Daphnia pulex: one gene and its partners. The protein of the gene in region 1 purifies or fractionates together with the protein of each later gene. This does not show direct contact. Links are inferred from orthologs where the notes say so. Each region holds a gene or a part of one and is shown in the gene's direction. Other genes may lie near its edges. The genes, in order: UBX domain-containing protein 7-like, nuclear protein localization protein 4 homolog and cullin-2-like.

What was found.
Region 2: the proteins of UBX domain-containing protein 7-like (region 1) and nuclear protein localization protein 4 homolog purify together in Homo sapiens (affinity purification with mass spectrometry; 3 studies listed by BioGRID and IntAct, with this or other methods). This does not show direct contact. The link is inferred for Daphnia pulex from reciprocal best matches to the Homo sapiens genes UBXN7 and NPLOC4.
Region 3: the proteins of UBX domain-containing protein 7-like (region 1) and cullin-2-like purify together in Homo sapiens (affinity purification with mass spectrometry; 6 studies listed by BioGRID and IntAct, with this or other methods). This does not show direct contact. The link is inferred for Daphnia pulex from reciprocal best matches to the Homo sapiens genes UBXN7 and CUL2.

Annotation. Positions count from the first base shown.
Region 1 is NC_060019.1:9,386,403-9,392,520, forward strand, and holds UBX domain-containing protein 7-like, read left to right. Parts: upstream 1-1,870; 5' UTR 1,871-1,974; coding exon 1,975-2,122; intron 2,123-2,192; coding exon 2,193-2,456; intron 2,457-2,515; coding exon 2,516-2,652; intron 2,653-2,719; coding exon 2,720-2,866; intron 2,867-2,995; coding exon 2,996-3,223; intron 3,224-3,319; coding exon 3,320-3,682; intron 3,683-4,076; coding exon 4,077-4,235; 3' UTR 4,236-4,562; downstream 4,563-6,118. Other genes in the region: sodium-dependent noradrenaline transporter-like, read left to right, coding at 37-229, 302-405, 476-683, 744-875, 955-1,054, 1,113-1,213, 1,279-1,731. UniProt on the Homo sapiens protein: Ubiquitin-binding adapter that links a subset of NEDD8-associated cullin ring ligases (CRLs) to the segregase VCP/p97, to regulate turnover of their ubiquitination substrates.
Region 2 is NC_060023.1:4,657,245-4,663,328, forward strand, and holds the start of nuclear protein localization protein 4 homolog, read left to right. Parts: upstream 1-1,867; 5' UTR 1,868-2,025; coding exon 2,026-2,028; intron 2,029-2,210; coding exon 2,211-2,291; intron 2,292-2,361; coding exon 2,362-2,714; intron 2,715-2,936; coding exon 2,937-3,198; intron 3,199-3,260; coding exon 3,261-3,370; intron 3,371-3,439; coding exon 3,440-3,509; intron 3,510-3,575; coding exon 3,576-3,864; intron 3,865-3,931; coding exon 3,932-4,092; intron 4,093-4,167; exon of another isoform or gene 4,168-5,103; coding exon of another isoform or gene 5,104-6,084. Other genes in the region: homeobox protein B-H2-like, read left to right, coding at 1-465; uncharacterized protein LOC124198209, read right to left, coding at 5,104-6,084. UniProt on the Homo sapiens protein: The ternary complex containing UFD1, VCP and NPLOC4 binds ubiquitinated proteins and is necessary for the export of misfolded proteins from the ER to the cytoplasm, where they are degraded by the proteasome.
Region 3 is NC_060021.1:10,404,131-10,410,285, reverse strand, and holds cullin-2-like, read left to right. Parts: upstream 1-2,130; 5' UTR 2,131-2,493; coding exon 2,494-2,813; intron 2,814-2,876; coding exon 2,877-2,986; intron 2,987-3,045; coding exon 3,046-3,286; intron 3,287-3,344; coding exon 3,345-3,591; intron 3,592-3,652; coding exon 3,653-4,786; intron 4,787-4,875; coding exon 4,876-5,070; 3' UTR 5,071-5,332; downstream 5,333-6,155. Other genes in the region: solute carrier family 25 member 46-like, read right to left, coding at 137-497, 562-680, 775-911, 974-1,119, 1,206-1,262, 1,398-1,576, 1,634-1,743, 1,815-1,962; cell division control protein 6 homolog, read right to left, coding at 5,486-6,155.

The DNA of each region.
Region 1 (6,118 bases):
AAAGTTGGGATAACATAACCTTTTGTTAACGTAAAGTATATCTTTCGGAGCCAAAGTAATGAAAATCATCCTAACGCTGTCCGGCGTCATCTGCGCTATTCTACTCAGCGTTGCGCTTGCTTTAGCTTTATCTCATCCAAACAATTCCCAAACGAATTCAAACAATACAGCACAGATAGGCATTAACTTACTTGCCCCTACTGAGCCATGGGGATTTGGACGCGGAGAAGTACTACGCAGCATCACTAAACCCATAAAATTCTTTATTTTATGACTTTCTTTTGATGGTTTTCTTTTTAAGGTCTGGTACGGCGCTATGGTACAGGTCATATTTTCATTGGCAATCGGTTTTGGTACGCTTCCTTCTCTGTCATCTTCTACCTATTTCAGTCGAAATACTATCAGGTATTTGCTTTTGAAACTTTGTCTTTTTGATGAGTTAATGGTAACTCTAAACCTTCTTTCTACAACTTAGAGATGGCATTTTAATTTGGCTTATTAACATACTCTTTGCTGTACTTTCCGTAATTACCACATTCGCTTGGATTGGTATTTCGGGTCTACATGCTAAGGATGTAGTCCAACCGAATGCCTTCATCTACTTTATCTACTATAACATTTGTAATTCGCTATGGGCCGGTCTTGCTTTTGGACTAATCTTTCTTTCTGGATTGAACAGCATGGTAAAAGAGAAATCAAATTGTTACTATGACGTGTAAATATATATTGTTTTCGATTTATAGCTGCCTCTTATGTACGCCATTATTCAAAATCTTTATGAGAATTTCCCGGTTCTCGAGCAACGCTATCAAAAGTTGACTTACTGCTTGCTATTCATCGCTGTTTGGCTCATCAATATTCCTGGCCTCATTCCGGTGCTTTATTTATTCTCACGTCATTTATCTCTCCGTGTTTATGGTAGTAACTGACAGTATTTTATCTTCCCTTTCTAAGGCTGGAAATGAAGTCGTAACGATGTGGGATCATTACGCTGCAGGAGGCACTGTACTTACCTGTTTAATTATTCATCTAATTGGATGGCTGTGGGTCTATGGTAAGATTAATGCAAGTATCCCCTAAAGGTATTATTTTGAAACATTTATTTGTAATAGGCGGGAAGAATTTGAAGCGGGATTTTGAATTCATGATTAACCGATCTATAAACTCTTTCTGGAACGTATCTTGGAGTTATGTCACCATCATTGTTCTCGTCGTAAGTGACTTTGTGTTCTATTATTCTCTTTACATTACCCTATATAATTGGCGGATAAATTTTAGATTGCAGAACTCTGGGGATTCCTTGGTGTGCCATTAGATGGAACTACAGATTGTCTTTATCCTATTTGGATGGTGGCAACTGGGTGGTCCTTTTACCTCTTAGCTTTGGCTGTAGCTTGTGCTGTCGCCATCAAGACTGTGGTTCAGGAAACTGAATATGAATTGATCAAAAAGTTAACCAACTCGATGAAAGCTGATAGGCATTGGGGTCCGATAGATCCCCTTCTTCATTTCCATTGGAAAAGATCTATAGAATCGCCATCTGGACCAGTTCCTTATTCTATGGACACAATTTCGCGCCGATTGAAAGTGGAAGATGAACAGAAAATTGAAACAGACATCTCTTTGTTTGATCAGAATTCCATGCCTAAAAGTCATCGGGGTAGTATAACTATGGTTCGATTGCCTCATTATGAAAGGCACTATGACGAAAATGGCCTCACGATCGAATAATATAGAATTGCATCTACTTGTTTTTGTTGAAATGCTTTCTTGAGATCATGAATGTAAAATACCGATAAAAAAAATATATCGCGCCCTAAATACAAATTTAAATTTTCGCTTTTTCCGATCAATCATCAGATGGCGTTGCTCAAACATTTTTTTGTTTTCGGCTGTAGAGCTGCTAGACAGCTCTCACGTAATCAGCGTTTAAGAATAAAATAATCGTAACTTAATCATTTTAATATATTCGCAATGGATTTATCTGACGATTCTTCACGAGGTTCATCTTCGAAATCTAGTCGAAGTAAATCTCAAAGTGGGAGTGAAAAAAGTGCCAAGTCTAAAAGTAAATCTTGTGTAGTAACCAGAGAGCAGATAGAGCAGTTTTGTGCTGTCACAGGTATAAAATCAAGCTTAATCAGTTTATTCTCCTTGCCATGTGATGTTGAAACTAATGTCTTGTAAAATAGGTAGCACAGAAGATGTTGCACGAACCTTGATTGAAGCATGCAGGGGAAATCTGGAGAGAGCTGTTGACATGCATATGGAAGGACTTTCAGAAAATCCACAACCATCAGGCGCTCAAGAAGAAGAATATGTCCGGGCTCCAATTCCTCAAAAGCAGGAAGTCTTGGTAGAATCTGGATATGAAGGCTATGGATTTGGCTTCAAGGGGAAAAAGCGAATAGTCAAATCAGTGTTTGATTCCTTCAGAAATTTTGAAGTGGAAACAAGTAATATCTATGCATGTTTCCAATGTTCCAACATAAACATTTATCTATTTTACTCATAGAACTGCAAGAATCCAGATTAAGAGAAACCAATGGCTTAGCAACACCAGTTGCCGGAGCTAGTATGTCTGGAAAAAGAACCTTAGAAGAGCTATTTCGGCCACCTATAGATATGATGTTCAATGGAAACCTTCTCAATGCAAGTTTTTTTTTTAAATCTCTAAAGAGAGGTTTCTAACTCATCAAACTGTATTTTAATGTTACAGGCAAGAGATACAGGAAAGACAGTGAAAAAGTGGATTATGGTTAACATTCAAAATATATCTGAATTCAGATGCCAATTATTAAATCGCGATGTTTGGTCTCAGAAGTCAATCAAAAACCTTGTTCGAGAGAATTTCTTATTCCTCCAGGTAAGATAGCCAGCGCCAATTTATTTCTACCATAAACACTCTCTTATTCGTGGTGGTTAGTTAATAACTATTCTCAAAGCTGTTCCTTATCAAAGCAATTCCATGCATAACTTGTGTATTTTATTTCAGTTGTATATGGACAGCGAAGAGGGTCAGCGATATATGAATTTCTACAAGGTTAACCAATGGCCATATGTTGCCGTTTTGGATCCCAGAACTGGAGAGTTGATGGTCGAATGGAATTATTCAGAAACTAGTGCCTATGAGACGCTGATTGCTGAATTTTTGGCAACTACTTCATGGGGAGATGAGGAAAAAAGTGCCTGCGCTCCATCAGATCCCAAGAAGAGACGAGTGGTAATAAGAATCCTAAAACTTTTTACTGTATTGGTCTCGAGAAGGTTTTCTTTATTGGGTAATAATAATAATTTCCTCTACTTTTTCTTTTTGAAGGAAACTATTCTGGATGCAAGCGAAGATGATCAGTTACAAGCAGCCATCCGAGCTTCGTTAGCTGCGTCAACAGCCCAAAATCAAAAGGCACCTGTATCGGACGACGAGTTTCAAAGCGATGAAGACGAGGACCAACCCACCGAGTGGTTTGACTCTGAATCCGACAGTCGAGCTAGCGAACCACGGAAAACAGAACCCGAGCCACCACAACCGGTGGGAAATCGTCTCGAGGCCTCCGGAACAGCAGATGACGACTGGGAAAGGCATTTGGGTCCCGAAGCAGATCCAATCTCATCAATTGTTTTTCGCTTTCCAGACGGTTCCAAGGAACAAAAAGCACTTCCTTGCACTTCTACTTTGATGGTGAGTAAATGGCGACCACCAGAACGTTTTTTTGTGTACATTTTGAAAAACAAACTTTGACAAAAGATTCAAGGATGATGAGCTTTTAACTATCATGTTAAGAAAATACCTGGGCTAAATCAAAAGCTTTTGGGTTTATTCTATTGCGATAAAACTGTTGTGTCGCTCGTAGCGAATCAGCCTACCGGATCGGATCTTTCAATCAGCATTCTTGAACTTCTTCTTTTTTTGAAAACCTTGAAAACATTTCTTTCACATTGTTCGCTAACCTCAAATGCAACAACATTGACGCTTTTATCCCTTTGCAAGCTTGTTAACAAAATTTGGCCTTTTTGAAAAAAGACTTTCAAAATCGTTAGTTTATTCAAAATTAAACTCTCTTGAATTATTGCAGGCCGTAGTCAAGTATGCAGCCCGCAAAGGATTTCCGCGTGATAAATTCGAACTGATGGCCAACTTCCCGAAGCGACTGCTCTTGACAATGGACAGTGAAATGACACTTAAAGATGCTGGTCTTTTCCCGCACGACACCATATTTGTTCAGGCTAGATAATAGCTAGACAAAATATGTTTGTCCTGTGTAAAAGAGAAAAGAAACAAGACAGTGCACCAAACTACAAAATTACATTCGTGCGCCTCAAGCTCAATTGTCTCATCCTTTTTTGTCTCACCCAGAGCTGTTCCTGTTTCTTCCTTTTTCCTTCCTTTTTAACTTAATTTTATTAATGCTCGTCTACCTCGTGTACCCAGGTTGTGTTCGTCACAGGGTCAAGATGGAAGAACACAAATTTAAATCTCAAACCTTATTAATTAAAAGCGCTTTACATGACCATCAACGTGCGCCCGGAATCGTTCAAATAAATACACTGCATTTTTTTCCCTATTCTTTTCGATTAATGTGCACTCGGTATTATTGCGTTTTGCTTGTGCTGCCTCATTCAGGTGTCGTCGAGTGGAACGTGCGCGTCTCCAATTTCTCTCTCTCGGTTCCGAATTCCACGCAGTGTGCAACTTTAGATACAAAGTTAGTCATGCAAGGCGGTTATTATCTCTTGATGGAATAAACGGCCGCGTCCCTCGGCAATGGTTGTAAATTTATTGACTCGCGTCGATTGTCGGACATTGGCGCTTCGTGGTGGAACAAAACAACCCCCTCTGCTTTATTATAAATGGATGGGAAAAAAAGGAAGCCAGAAACACATTAATAATAGCCGCAAAAAAGAAATGTGTTGGAAAAAAAAACTTTACTTTCATTCAATCAGGTATATATTATTTTTCCTTATTCCCTTAGGGGGGTGATGGCGGGGACGTTAAATCCCTCCCCCATTTCATTCTCGGCGCGGTTCTCTCCAGAAGAGCCCGACAGATGGCTTATTGCGGTTTTCCCAGCGAGCGACCGTTTTTTTTTTTTTGAAAATGGCGACAAGAAGTAAAATATTGACGTTTGCTGGTGGTGTGTTCTGCCCGTTCTTAATACCCATTCTTTAGAAAAAAGGTTTTCTGTTTTTTTCCCAGTCGAGTTTTTATATCTCTTTTAACTTGATTTCAAAACCAGTGGACCAGCGGGCAGGAAGAGCGAGGGAAAAAAGGAGAGAGTTTTCAGTCTCGTGAGAGTGGCCAGTATACCAGGTTGTTGTGTTGTGTGTGTGTGTGTGTCTGCTGTGTACGTCGGCAAGAATCTTAGTGGATGGCAGTTATTCCGTGATCGGAAACGATAGTGGACAGTCTCTCTCCCAACTTGCTCTCAGTGCTTGAAATCGATACTTGGCTATTACCATGAACTACTGTGTTTCACCTCATCGTTGATGCAAGCTACCCATGACTCAAGGTATAGTTGTCTCATTCTTTATTCATCTATCACAACCCACGTTCCTCAGGGTTTGAGATTACCATAACCTTGGCTGTGGGCAATGCAACAAGTTGACAGTACTTGTCGCTGTCTCACTCTCTTTCATCCATCACTACCTACGTTTTCATGAAGGTGAAACATTATCATATCATTGGCAATCAGAATTCAACAAGATGACAGTCCCAGTTAAAATGTGGGCTCTCCGGCCAGACAAAGAAAAAAAAAAAAGAACCAGTGACTAAAGTCTGACTAAAGTGCAACATTTTGAAGCTGACTCATTTTTGGCGCCCAGTAGAGGTCGCGGCTGCGCGATGCTCTAGACGCCAACTGCGCCGGCGCCCATTTGTTATTTCCTCCCCCTTCCTCGTCCCTATACATCCATCCAGACTCCTAAAAACATGTGTGCTAACCCCAGGGTCGTAGCTTTTTTCTTATTTTCCTTATTTTGCTAATCACAACAAAAGTCGTGACGAAGACCAGCCACCCCATACACAACTGTGCGTTGCACATGCCCAAACCCTACGATTCTTCCGGTTTTCTTAAATGGATTTCCGAATTCCATTAAAAAGCCTTCTTTTTCCGGGGTT
Region 2 (6,084 bases), on another chromosome or scaffold:
TTCGATTTCTCGAAAATGCCCGACCCGACCAAGCTCTTTGGTCACCAAATGTCTGCAATGCAAAATGCTCTGCAAGCCCAGCTGCTGAGAGGCATGGGATTGCCTTCGGGATCGGCGTCCATGTCGAGTCACGCTCACAACCCTCTCATGAATCCCTTCTCTTCACTGCTGTACCCTTATCAGCTGGCCATGGCCGCTTCGGCTGCTCAAGCAGCAGCTCAGGGCAGAGGCAATAGCGGCGGTGGTGGATCCGGAGGAGCTGGAGGCAGCGGAAACAGCAGTCGAGACAATAGCGCCGCTGCCTTTACCGCCGCCAGTTTGGCCGAACTGCAACGGCAATATCTGCTGGACATGCTCCCACACCTGCCCAACATGGCCGCTGCCGCCGCCAGCAGTGCCGGCTCCCGCTCGTCACAGGGCCAAAGCCAGGGTCATGGCGATGGTCGTCAAAATTGGAAATCTTGAGCAAGTAGACATCCCCCTCAAAATGTGTCTTTGTGTTGTCAACTCCGCTCTGATGGGCATTTGCATCCGCCGGCAGCAGCTGACTTGCCTGAGCCAAGACGTTCTTTTTTTTTCTTTATTATTAATAATTATTTTCAATATTTCTTGCGGTCTCGTTATGAATATTCACCTCTCCCCATTTCTCTGTTGACTTTCGATTTAATAAGCGAACTGGTTCCATGCGTATGTCAAATCACTAACGATTAACTAAAAACAAAAAGGGAGGCTGTTCGAGATCTCACGATCGTCTTTGCTTCATTCAGTTTAGTGAACCAGTAAGAAATTTTGTCTCGATTTTCCATCGTGGTTCATCACACTCCAGGCAGGGTACGACTGTCGTTACGTGCGCCCTGATTTGCCTTATGAACTCAAGCTAAAAAGACACCCAACAACCACGACAAATCCATATTTGATATAGGACAAATGCAGCGATGTTATCTTTTGTTTCTTATTATTAGAGAGGTAGCAAAGCGTAGAACTGCAGTGACACAGAAGGGACTCATCAGCACATATTCTCTGTGATGGGCCGGATGCTGGAACGCTCAAATGTTGCATGTGGAATATTATGACATATAACCCTCCCCCCTCCTCCTGAAAGGCAAATTTGGCCATGTACTGCTTTTCATCCTCTATACTGTTGTTTAGATGCACTGACTCGTGATTTTTTCAAAACTTCATCTGGCGAGTGCACCTTCTCTTGTTGCAGATCTGATCATCAGCACAACCCTACCCTCCTGACATGAATTTTCCCCCACCCCGTTTTCCTATAATTTCCATGTGTCTTTACTTCCCTCTTTGTTTCTCGTGATCTATTAAACTTACGTCAAGACAACGGACATGACTGTCTCATTTGGCATGGTGATGAAAATGCGGGATTGCAGGCTGACATTCTGGTATCCTCGAGTGTATGTGTGTTTGTATCTGTCTTGAGAGAAGTGAACAAGAAACGTGTTTCCCAATCGTTTTACTTATCTTGAATCAAGTCTTTATATAATTAATCGGATACCTATACATAGCTAGTTATCAGTATACAAAGTAATCCTTCAAGTGGGTAGTGTGATGAAGTATAAATCTGCGAGATATAAACTTTCTATTAGCTTTAGTTTAATTGCGTACTCAAATTTATGAATTATTTGGTTCGTTTTATCACTTCTTTTTCTTCGAGTTTCCGTAGACTTCAACCAATGTTATAAGGTGCCTAATATATAATAAACAAAGAACATTTTGTTTAATTTGAAATGATTTTAAATGTAAATAAAACTTGATTAACGAAAGATTACAATTTTTGAAAATTCTTTTTTATTTAATTTTTTTCAAAATTGTGAAATTTCTTTCGCCATCTAGCGTTCGTACTCAACGACGTTTCACATAACAGAACGTATCGAGTACTCAAAGTTGACTGAAAGTTGATTTGATCGAGTAAACGAAAACATCCGCTGCGGTCTTTTGTCGTTAAATCTTCTGGACAATCAACCTGAACTTATCGGTCCGCAGTTACCAAATTATATTAAAAAACTGAAGATGGTATACGTTTGTTATTTGTTATCAATATCACATTTTTTTGGAATGCTCATAAATTTTGCTTTATCTTGAAACGTTCGTTTTTATTGTTGCCTATTGTCTTTACATGGGACGTTTTCATACGTGATATGATGAAATTTTTCAAAATATAGAACCATATTAATTGCAACAAATATTTCCTATAGATGTTGAGAGTTCAATCTCCAGAAGGTACTCGGCGTGTGGATGTTGACAATGTCACCGTAACCAGGGAACTGTTTGAAAAGGTATAGAAGAATTGACCCCATAATTAATACAATGCAAAACCCACAAATAATTTTGTAATTTTTTTCTTAGGTCCTCAATACCTTTGGAAATATAGGTTATTCTTTTGCCTTGTACTGCAAACGTGATAAATCTCAAGAAATTGTTTCATCGAATGCAAAGACTATGGCAAGTTATGGGCTTCAGCATGGTGATATGATATACTTGTCACCTATTGCTGGTGCAGTTCAGCACGGTGAACAGGATGCTTCTGTGCTTAAAGTAAAAAATGGAGTGAGCACTGCTTCATCGACAACCTTCCTTCCATCAACTAGTAGCATGCATGGATCCAAAATACCTATTCGATCTAATGTAGAGGAAGATCAAGTTGATGTAATTCTACAGAAAATGGATGGAACTGTCAAGAGAAAACGTGATCCCAAAAAGTGAGTTTTTACAGTGCACGTATTGGACTAATATTGTAATCAGTTGTGTTCTAATTTTATTTGAAAGCTTCCTTAGAATAAGCAATAGTCTAATATAATGTAATCTAAATTATGCAGAGACATTGTGGCTAATATGTAAGGATTATAGTAAAAAGCGGTGTATTATAAAATAACCGATATTCATCCGACATGAAAAATAACAGCATTTATTTTTAATGATAGTTGTCTCCATGGAGAAAATTCGTCTTGCATTCATTGTCTACCATTGGAACCATACGACGCTTCGTACCTAAAGGAGCTGAACGTCAAACATATGTCGTTTCACGCTTACTTACGGAAACTGTCTAGTGGGTTAGACGGAGGAAAATATGCTAATTTGGATAACATAAGTTGTCGGATTAAACCTGGTTGCACTGGTCATCCGCCATGGCCCAAAGGTGTGTGCTCTAAATGCCAACCGAAAGCCATTACTCTGAACAGTCAAGTAATATTCCATTTGCCGCTCCAACATGTAAACCATATTAATCTTTGTTTCAAATCCTACAGGCTTACAGACACGTTGACAACGTTGTCTTTGAAAATCCAAACCTAGTCGAACAATTTCTTCATTACTGGCGTGTAACCGGGCGACAGCGAATCGGATTCCTCTATGGAAGGTAAAAATGAAATTCGAAGTTGATCAATTTATTTCTCCAAAATCAAACTAAAATGTTCAATTCTACCAGATTTGACATTCATTTGGATGTGCCACTTGGAATCAAAGGAATAGTCGCAGCAATTTATGAGCCTCCACAGGTACGTCAAGTATTCACATCCGAAACATGTAAAGAATGTAATCTGATGGAATGGATTAATTTTTAGGAATCGACACGTGATTCTGTTCGCTTGCTGCTTCCGGACAACCGGCAATCTGTTGTCGACCGTGTGGCTGCCAAGCTTGGACTTCAGTGTATTGGATGGATTTTTACCGACTTGGTGGCAGAAGATGTGTCCAAAGGAACTGTTCGCCATTTCCGCAATGCAGAAACGCACTTTCTCTCTGCGCAAGAATGCATCATGGCTGGCCATTTCCAGTCACTTCATCCGAACCCATGCCGCTTGTCGTCTGATGGCTACTTTGGCTCTAAATTCGTCACTGTTTGTGTTACCGGTAAACATTTGCTAAAAATTTAATTCAAACTAATCGGAAACTTACAACGGACATAATCTGTTTGCAGGTGACTCGCAGAATCAGGTGCACATGGAAGGTTATCAGGTTTCCAATCAATGCCAAGCCTTAGTTCGAGATGAGTGCTTAGTGCCTACCAAAGACGCTCCAGAGTTAGCATACGCCCGCCAGTCTACAGCCGAAAAGTACATCCCAGATGTTTACTATAAGGTCAGTGCTTTTAATTATTATTATTTTATTTTTATTTTTTTAGTATTTATCCGAAAAGAATGCGAGCAAAAGGAGTAGGGTCGACAGCGATCGTTACGTGTATTTCAGCGTTCAGGTTTCCCTTTCAAATTCCACTGTGGATGGAGTGTTTTTTTTTTTTTCTTTTTTACTCTTTAGTTTACAGGTATTAGAAGAATTAGGAAGGAGCTAGAGAAAGTTTTAGTCCGTAACAACCACGATAAACTCGAGACATTAATAAATTCCGATACGCCGAAAAAGAGGGAAGGGGTAAAGGTAACAAGCCGAGGAAGGTGCGACATAAGCGAAAACCAAAAGGCACTCCGTATTTTTCCCGACACATACGCGCACACGCACACACTGACAGACTAGACATGTCGACGTGTTGTAACAACCTAAAAAATTCGTTGGACAAAAAAAAAGTAGCATTTTTTTTTTTTTTGCCTTCCACACGATGTTAATAAAGACTAAATGAAATATTTTTTTTTTCAACGTTTACGCCAAAAACACAAAACGTAGGCACCATAACACAACGGTGGAGGGGGGCGGGAGCTAAAGTTTGGTAGAGGAGGAAAAAAAAAAGTGGGACAATTTTTCAAATGCTTGATCCGAACTTCACGAATGGGGGCGACGAAATGTAGCGGAAATAGAAAGAGGGTAATAATAACTAAATCGACGACAGAAAAAAAAGAAGTACGACAAAGAAATAACAACAATTCTTGCTATTTACCAAACAACATGTGGCAGTATTGAAACTGGGCGATGCAATAATTTGTATCGGTCGTCAAAAGAAAAGGGTCAGATGTAGAGCCAAGTTGTTACATTTCACTACGTGAAAAAAAAACTCGTTGCTTTCGAAGGGTTAGGAGAAAAATATTAGGTTCTTTCGGGTGCATCCCGATGCCTCTTGCATTTTTTTCTTTTTTGTTGTTGTTGTTGTTTTTTTTTGAGAAGAAAAGCAGCAAACACAGAAAAGTCGCGAAACGTTGTCTTCTAACTGAGCAATCCACAATTGGCCACGGTGATGAGTTTGCGAGGGAAGCCTTGATGATCGCCCAGAAAAGAAACGCGTTCCACCAATTCCAATCCGTGGATGACGTGGCCAAAGACACCAGTGAAGAAGGGCATGTCTCGAAGTAGAATACGGAATTGGGATCCCACTAGCCCTTGGCTGTGATGCTTTTTTTGCGTTCGTCTCATGCCGATCGCCGCTCGAATGCAGGGCAGCTTGCTGTCGTCGGGCATGAAGAAGGGTTCTTCCGCGTAGATGGATCGTCCCCCACGCCCGGAATTGCATTCAAAGTCACCGGCGATGCACGACTCTCCTCCCCAACATTGGAAAACTTGACATCCCTTGTAGCCAAATCCTTTCTCACCCATGCAAAGCGATGCGAAATTCTTGGCCATCTTGGGCGCCACATCTGGTCGGGTTTCCAATACTACGCGGCCTTCAACGATTCCGTCGACTTCCAAATCTAGGAAAAAACGAGGGAAAGACGAGTGCAGAGGAGAACTAGGGGAGAGGACGCTGGCCATCGAGTTGCTCTTGTTGGGGGAAGTCGAAGTCAGTAGAGAGCTGGCCAAAAGTTGTTTCGTGTACAGCCGAGCGTTGCAGACGTTGGCCAAAAGGGCCACAGGATCGGGTTGGGTGGGTGGAGACTGCAGCAGTTCCATAGTAGACGGACCACGATTGCCAGAGTATCGTAAGTTTTGAACCGCCTGACGGAACGTATGCAAGTCCAGTACTTGGTTGCTGGAACCAATGACACGATTCAAAGTCAGCTGCATGGCCAGTTGTTGTTGCTTGGTCTGAAGGCGAATCCGTTCCGATTGTAGAGATCTGAGCATTTCAGCTGCCTCGTCGGGGCCTGAAAGTCCAGCTAGTTGAAAAGTAACTTTGTTTAGCAGAAACTGGGTAGTGTCTTCTTCGTTCAAGCCATTGGACACAGCAGAACTGCTCTGTTTGTTGAGACT
Region 3 (6,155 bases), on another chromosome or scaffold:
TCTTATAATAGCATTTATTTCCAAAATTCACCGTTTAACAAACTAAATAGATTTCTACTGCAGGTTTGAGTTTTGCTTTTCCCCCAAAGGTTCTGTTAAATATATACAACAGTTGATTAGACTAGATTAGTTATCACTAATTAAATTGTTGATGCAGCGGATAGCCTCTTGGAAGCTCGGGCGAAGCTTTCGGACTTCTGTCTTGACGATCGGATAAGACAGTTTGATTTCTCGGTGAAACAGGCTGGATGCCAGCGTTTGGCTTAAATAAGTCTCCCATATGGTAAAAGGTGAATAATGAGCCTTTAATTATGCTAAGCTGGAGAGCGTATTGCAAAACTAACGCCCCCAACCCTTTGTACAGACCCCACCTCCCTTCTTCGCGGGTAATTGTATTCCAGCAGTCGAAAAAGCCATCATAACGTGTTAGAATTGGTATAACAGATGCACCGGTGTCCAAATTATCGATAATAGTACGTGTTCCTTGAATATGCAGCCTGTTGAAAATTCAGAAGGCGTTTAAGTTTATTATTTAAATTCAAAAAATGAAAATAATCGTACCTATGGAGAACTGTCTCGAAGGGAAAGAGTAATACGTCCGCCACTAACGACCCAGCAAATCTTGAAGACAAGTCAAGATCGTTTGCTTCGACGAAACTCACTTCTTTAGAAAGGGCACCCTGAAATCAAGTGAATATTAATTATTTCAATATAGAAAATTCCGAGCGTATTGAAAATATCAGAGTTAAATCAACAGTTACTACAAAAACCTACCTGTTTACGCTGGCTTCGTTTTTTAGCTGAGGTCATTCCCCAGCGAGTCAATCCCGCTGAAAGCACTGAGACGATGTAATGAACCGTCCCACATAAAACAGCAGGGCACAAAATAATCCATATTGGTAACAATCGACCTAAAAATATTTTAAATGATGCAATAGAGAATCCTAGTAAATATTTTGGAAAAATGTTTTACCTGTTTGGGGGGCAGACCAGCTTAAGAACCTATAAATCCCTTCTTGAAAAACATCAAAGATACCCGGCTTTTCACTTGCAATATCAGATTGAACAGTTTCTACAACACTTGCTGCATAAAATGGGATCACGACAGCTAGGGAAACGCTAGGGAACCAAAAAATAGATTTAAAAATTCTTTAGATATCTGCTAATAATTGTCGTATGACAATTTCAATGTGTTTTTGTGATACCTTTTCAAGAGGATGTGGTGTCCAATTGCTTTCAATGAGCTGTTACGATCAATTTCTCTAAAAAAAAAAGAAAAAAAAAACAAAAACAAGTGAATATTCTGTCAGTCTAAATATAAACACACACTGGCTATTTCAATGAACACAAGAGGACAGCTTACATGGCAACATTTGCCACTTTATATGCTAAATTACTTTGGCCATGGTGTTATCTTGCTCAGTACATCCTCAATGGCTAATGTGAGACCTCTCACAATTAAAGCACTGCCAATTCCTTTCCATAACACAGTCATGCTTTGTCTTTGGTGTAGCCTAATGACTACTGGGACCAAGCTGAAAGGTAGTGTATGGTATTTTCTAGAAAATACATTAACCTACAGATAAGCAGTATTAAAAAATTTACTATCAAATTAACGTAAAGAATTTTTCACCTGACACTGTCTTCGCAGAACTAAAAATGGATGGCATAGTAGATTTTCAGCTGCTAGTCTCATAATACCAAAACTGGGATTTGGGATTCTACTTGCATCAATCATATCATCTTACAAGAAAATAAAAATTATGTAAAGTCATTGCAAAAAAATGTGTGATGATAAAAGTCACTGTTAATACCATATCTATATTTCGGCGACGTAATAGCTTTGTTTTCATGTTGTATCCTACCATCAGTTACTGCAGAAGCAGCAGAATCAGCTTTTTTTATCCAAAAGGGAGAATTTTCTAAACTGTAATAGAACGAGTAGTCCTCAGTTCCAGCCATACTAACCTGTACACTTGATTTGATATTAATGTTTATGAATTCCAAGTAAAAAAAAAACAAACTATTTTCGTATTATGGTTAACTTTTTCTTTCGTGATACGCAGCAGACGAATAACTACTAATAATGAGCTGCCATCTGATGATAAACTAAACAACTTTTCCGTTTCTTCGCGAAGGCCAAAGGGGCCAGAGCAGACGAACCCACACTGCGCAATCGTTTTATTAATCTTCAGAATCCTTGTTCTGTGAAACCAATTGTATTCTTATTTAACCCCAGGGTCTTAAGATTCTCGAGTAAATTGATTATTCAAGGAATCTGAAACTTTGTCCTTCATTTACGATACGAAAAACAAGTAAATAACTTAAGGTCTTTTCATTGCTATTGCCAGTAGTCATTGCATGATCGTTTGTACGAAGATCAGTTTTGGTTTTCTCCCGTTGAACTTGGAAATAGGGACTCTGGCTTTTTTTGTAAAATTCCTATGATCCACTTTTTGGACTTTGATTCAGCTGTTCTAATAACTGCACAAAATGTCTCTTAAACCGAAGCGTGTAGACTTTACCACAACTTGGGCTGATTTAAAGGAAACAGTTAAAGGTGTTGTAACTCTGGGAAATGTTCCTCATACTATATGGTACAATCGATTCAGTGATGTGTATTCCCTCTGCGTGGCTTACCCAGAACCTTTAGCTGAGAAATTGTACCAAGAAACTAAAAAGTTTTTGGAGGAGCATGTTAAATCTCTTTTCATCCAAGTGAACGGCACCAGTGAAGAACAGCTTCTGACTGTGTATTACACACTTTGGCAGCAATATAGCCAAGGAATGGACTATTTGCACAAACTTTACTCGTAATTTATTCATTTCTTTTCTCTAATAAAACAAGTTAATACATGCTTTTAATTCAAATACAGATACCTTAATACCCAACACATCAAGAAACAAAAAGCATCTGATGCCGAGCTTCTTTATGGGACATTGTCTTATGAATCACCTGAACAAATGAAAGAAATCGGAGAATTGGGTAATCACTATTTGTAATTTTTTTGGTGTACTGAATCCTTATCGAAACTTGCTTGCTAGGTTTGGATTTGTGGAAGAAGTATATGATAGAGCCATTGAAAGCCGACTTGCTGAGATTACTTTTGGGAGGCATACATTGTGACCGAACTGGACAATCTTTGTATAATGAAAAGTCATCAACAATTCAGGGTGTGATTCAGTCGTTTGTTTCAGTCGAGGAATACAAGAAGAAGAACACCCTCGAACTTTATGAGGCTGTTTTTGAAGGGCCATTTCTTGAAGCGACCGGTGAATACTACAAGTAAGAAATAATTAAAATGTTAAAAATTTGCATATTACAGTTGTTTGGTCAAATTTAGGCAAGAAGCTAGTCGCTTGTTACAGGAATGCACAATTTCCTTGTATATGGAAAAAGTTTTGCAACGTCGGGACGAAGAAGATTTACGTAGTCGGAAATTCCTGCACCCAAGCTCTTACAGTAAAGTTCGAACTGAATGCGAAAAACGAATGGTAGCAGATCACTTGGCGGCTATCCACAACGAGTGCCCGACAATGGTTCAACAAGAACTCCAACAAGATCTTCGAAATGCGTACGCGTTGTTGAAGGTGAGAGCTTATCTTATTGCCTCGTAGTATAAATTTTAATTGTTTTCTAAAATTTGTTCAGTCGATTCCGGGAGGTTTGACTGTTCTGGTGTCGCACGTCATGGAACACATCAAACAACAAGGATTGCGAACAGTGACTAACCTGTCAGGAGACAACATTGCTGCCCAGTTTGTAGAGGGCATGCTTAGTGTCCACTCCAAGTACAAGGAGATCACCAACACTGTTTTCAGTAATGATCAGCTATTTAGCAGCGCTCTAGATATGGCCTGTGCTGCAGTCGTCAACCATCGCTTCAATACTAAACAAAATTGTAGGTCTCCAGAACTACTTGCCAAGTATTGTGATACTCTCTTGAAGAAGTCAACAAAAGGCGGTAGTGACACCGAAGTTGACGATAAGTTAACACAGTGCATTACTGTATTCAAGTACATCGACGACAAGGATGTTTATCAAGCTTTTTACTCACGGAAGTTGGCACATCGATTGATTTCACAACAGAGTCAAAGTATGGACGCTGAAGAGGCAATGATCAACCGATTGAAACAGGCATGCGGATATGAGTTTACCAACAAACTTCATCGAATGTTCACGGACATGTCCGTCTCATCAGACCTGAACAACAAGTTTAATCTGCTGAACAAAGATCGGATGATTGAATTAGGTCTCAACTTCTCCATCTATGTCTTGCAAACCGGTGCGTGGCCTAGACAAGTCTGCCCTACCGATTTCGCCGTACCCCAAGAGTTGGAAAAATCGGTCCAAGAATTTGAAGATTTCTATCGTCTACAGTTTAACGGCCGGAAGCTTGCATGGCTACATCACTTGAGTTACGGAGAGCTGAAACTGAACTACTTGAAAAAGCGTTACTTCATCACCATGGGAACCTTCCAAATGGCAATGCTTCTTGTCTTTCAAAAGACCAATTCCGTGACTTGTGGAGAACTCATGGAAGCCACGAAGCTTAACTCGGATCAATTCCAAAAGGTCCTTCAGAGCTTAGTCGACTCAAAGCTTTTGGCAGTAACTAGTGACACTGTCGAAGTTTTCCAACCATCTACAGTCATTTCCCTCAATATGGATTATAGTAACAAACGAACCAAGTTTCGTATTAACAACACTATCCAAAAGGAGACTGTCCAAGAAACCGAGACGACGCATTCTTCTGTAAACGAAGACAGGAAAATGTACCTTCAGGTAAGAATTATACGAATATTTTAGCGTAATGCGTTAGAAATCCGAAAACAAACTAAAGTTTTTTTTTTTTTTTCATTTGGCTTTCCAAGGCTACAATCGTTCGAATCATGAAATCTAGGAAGATTCTTCGCCACATGGTCTTAATTCAGGAGGTGTTGAGCCAGTCCCAACCCCGATTTGCTCCTCCCATTTGCATGATAAAAAAGTGCATTGAGACATTGATTGACAAGCAGTACCTGGAGCGTACCCCTAATTCAACGGACGAATATAGCTATGTGGCATAGAAAATGCAATCTCAACGTTAGTTCGCAATATCATGCTGTAATACTTTGGCGTGAATTTTTGAAATTGTTGAAAAGAAAACCGCGTCGAGATGGTAAGGGATTGTTGGGCCTTTGGGGTATTTCTCATATTGTACATGAATAATTTTTCCATTTGATATTTTTCATCGGTTTTTCCTTGCTGTGTGAACTTAGAAATTCTTACTTACACACTTTGAACATCGTTTAAAGTGCAGTATTAGAAATACAAAGCATACAAAATAAATGTTGGCAACTACGGAAAAGATTTTTAAAAGATAAAATGCACTGTTATAGGCAAGAAATTGTATTATAGGTAAAGTTAAACAGCTTTAAAATAGTCTCAGATACTACACTACTTGTAAAGTTTGGCGGACACGTGATTGATATTACAGACAAATTAAACGAATAAAGATCCTTGAGCGAGAATTGATGATAAGAGAGTCTTGTCCTTAAGTGTGGATTCCACTTCACGCTCGTCAAGCCGTAGACAGATTGGCGCAAGGCGAGAATTACTCTTTTTCTTCAGGGTCACGATACCTCGGCTCTCGACCAGAGAGCAAGTATGTGAAAATTCATCGAAGTCTATTTTAGTCACACCGTACTTGGAACAAACTTTGCTGTATGACTCGTGTAGTTTACCCAACGTCACTTGTTTTGCCTTCCCGAATTTGACTAGCACGAGAAGTGTCACAATAATTAGCTTTTGTTGCAGAGGGGTTTCATCTACATCGTCGTTGTTCGCAGAAGAGAATGCATTACTTTCAACTGAAGCCATCATCTTGCAGAGAAGAGGAATGTTCACACATTTGTTTGTCGGTATTGATGCGCTATTTTGAGGTTCCGAATTCGATGGTGCCAACACTAACTGCTTTTTGGCGGAGGTTTCGGCCAACTCGACTGCTCGTCTACAGATGTCAATGGCTTTACGCAGATCTCCAGATGTAGAAGATATTTTGCCACCCAAATACTGCAGGGCTGAAGGAGCTATTAGATTGCCTACATCTTCAGTGACCACTTCTCGGATTCGCTGGCTCAGAATGGTTACAATATCCTGCTTTGAATAAGGC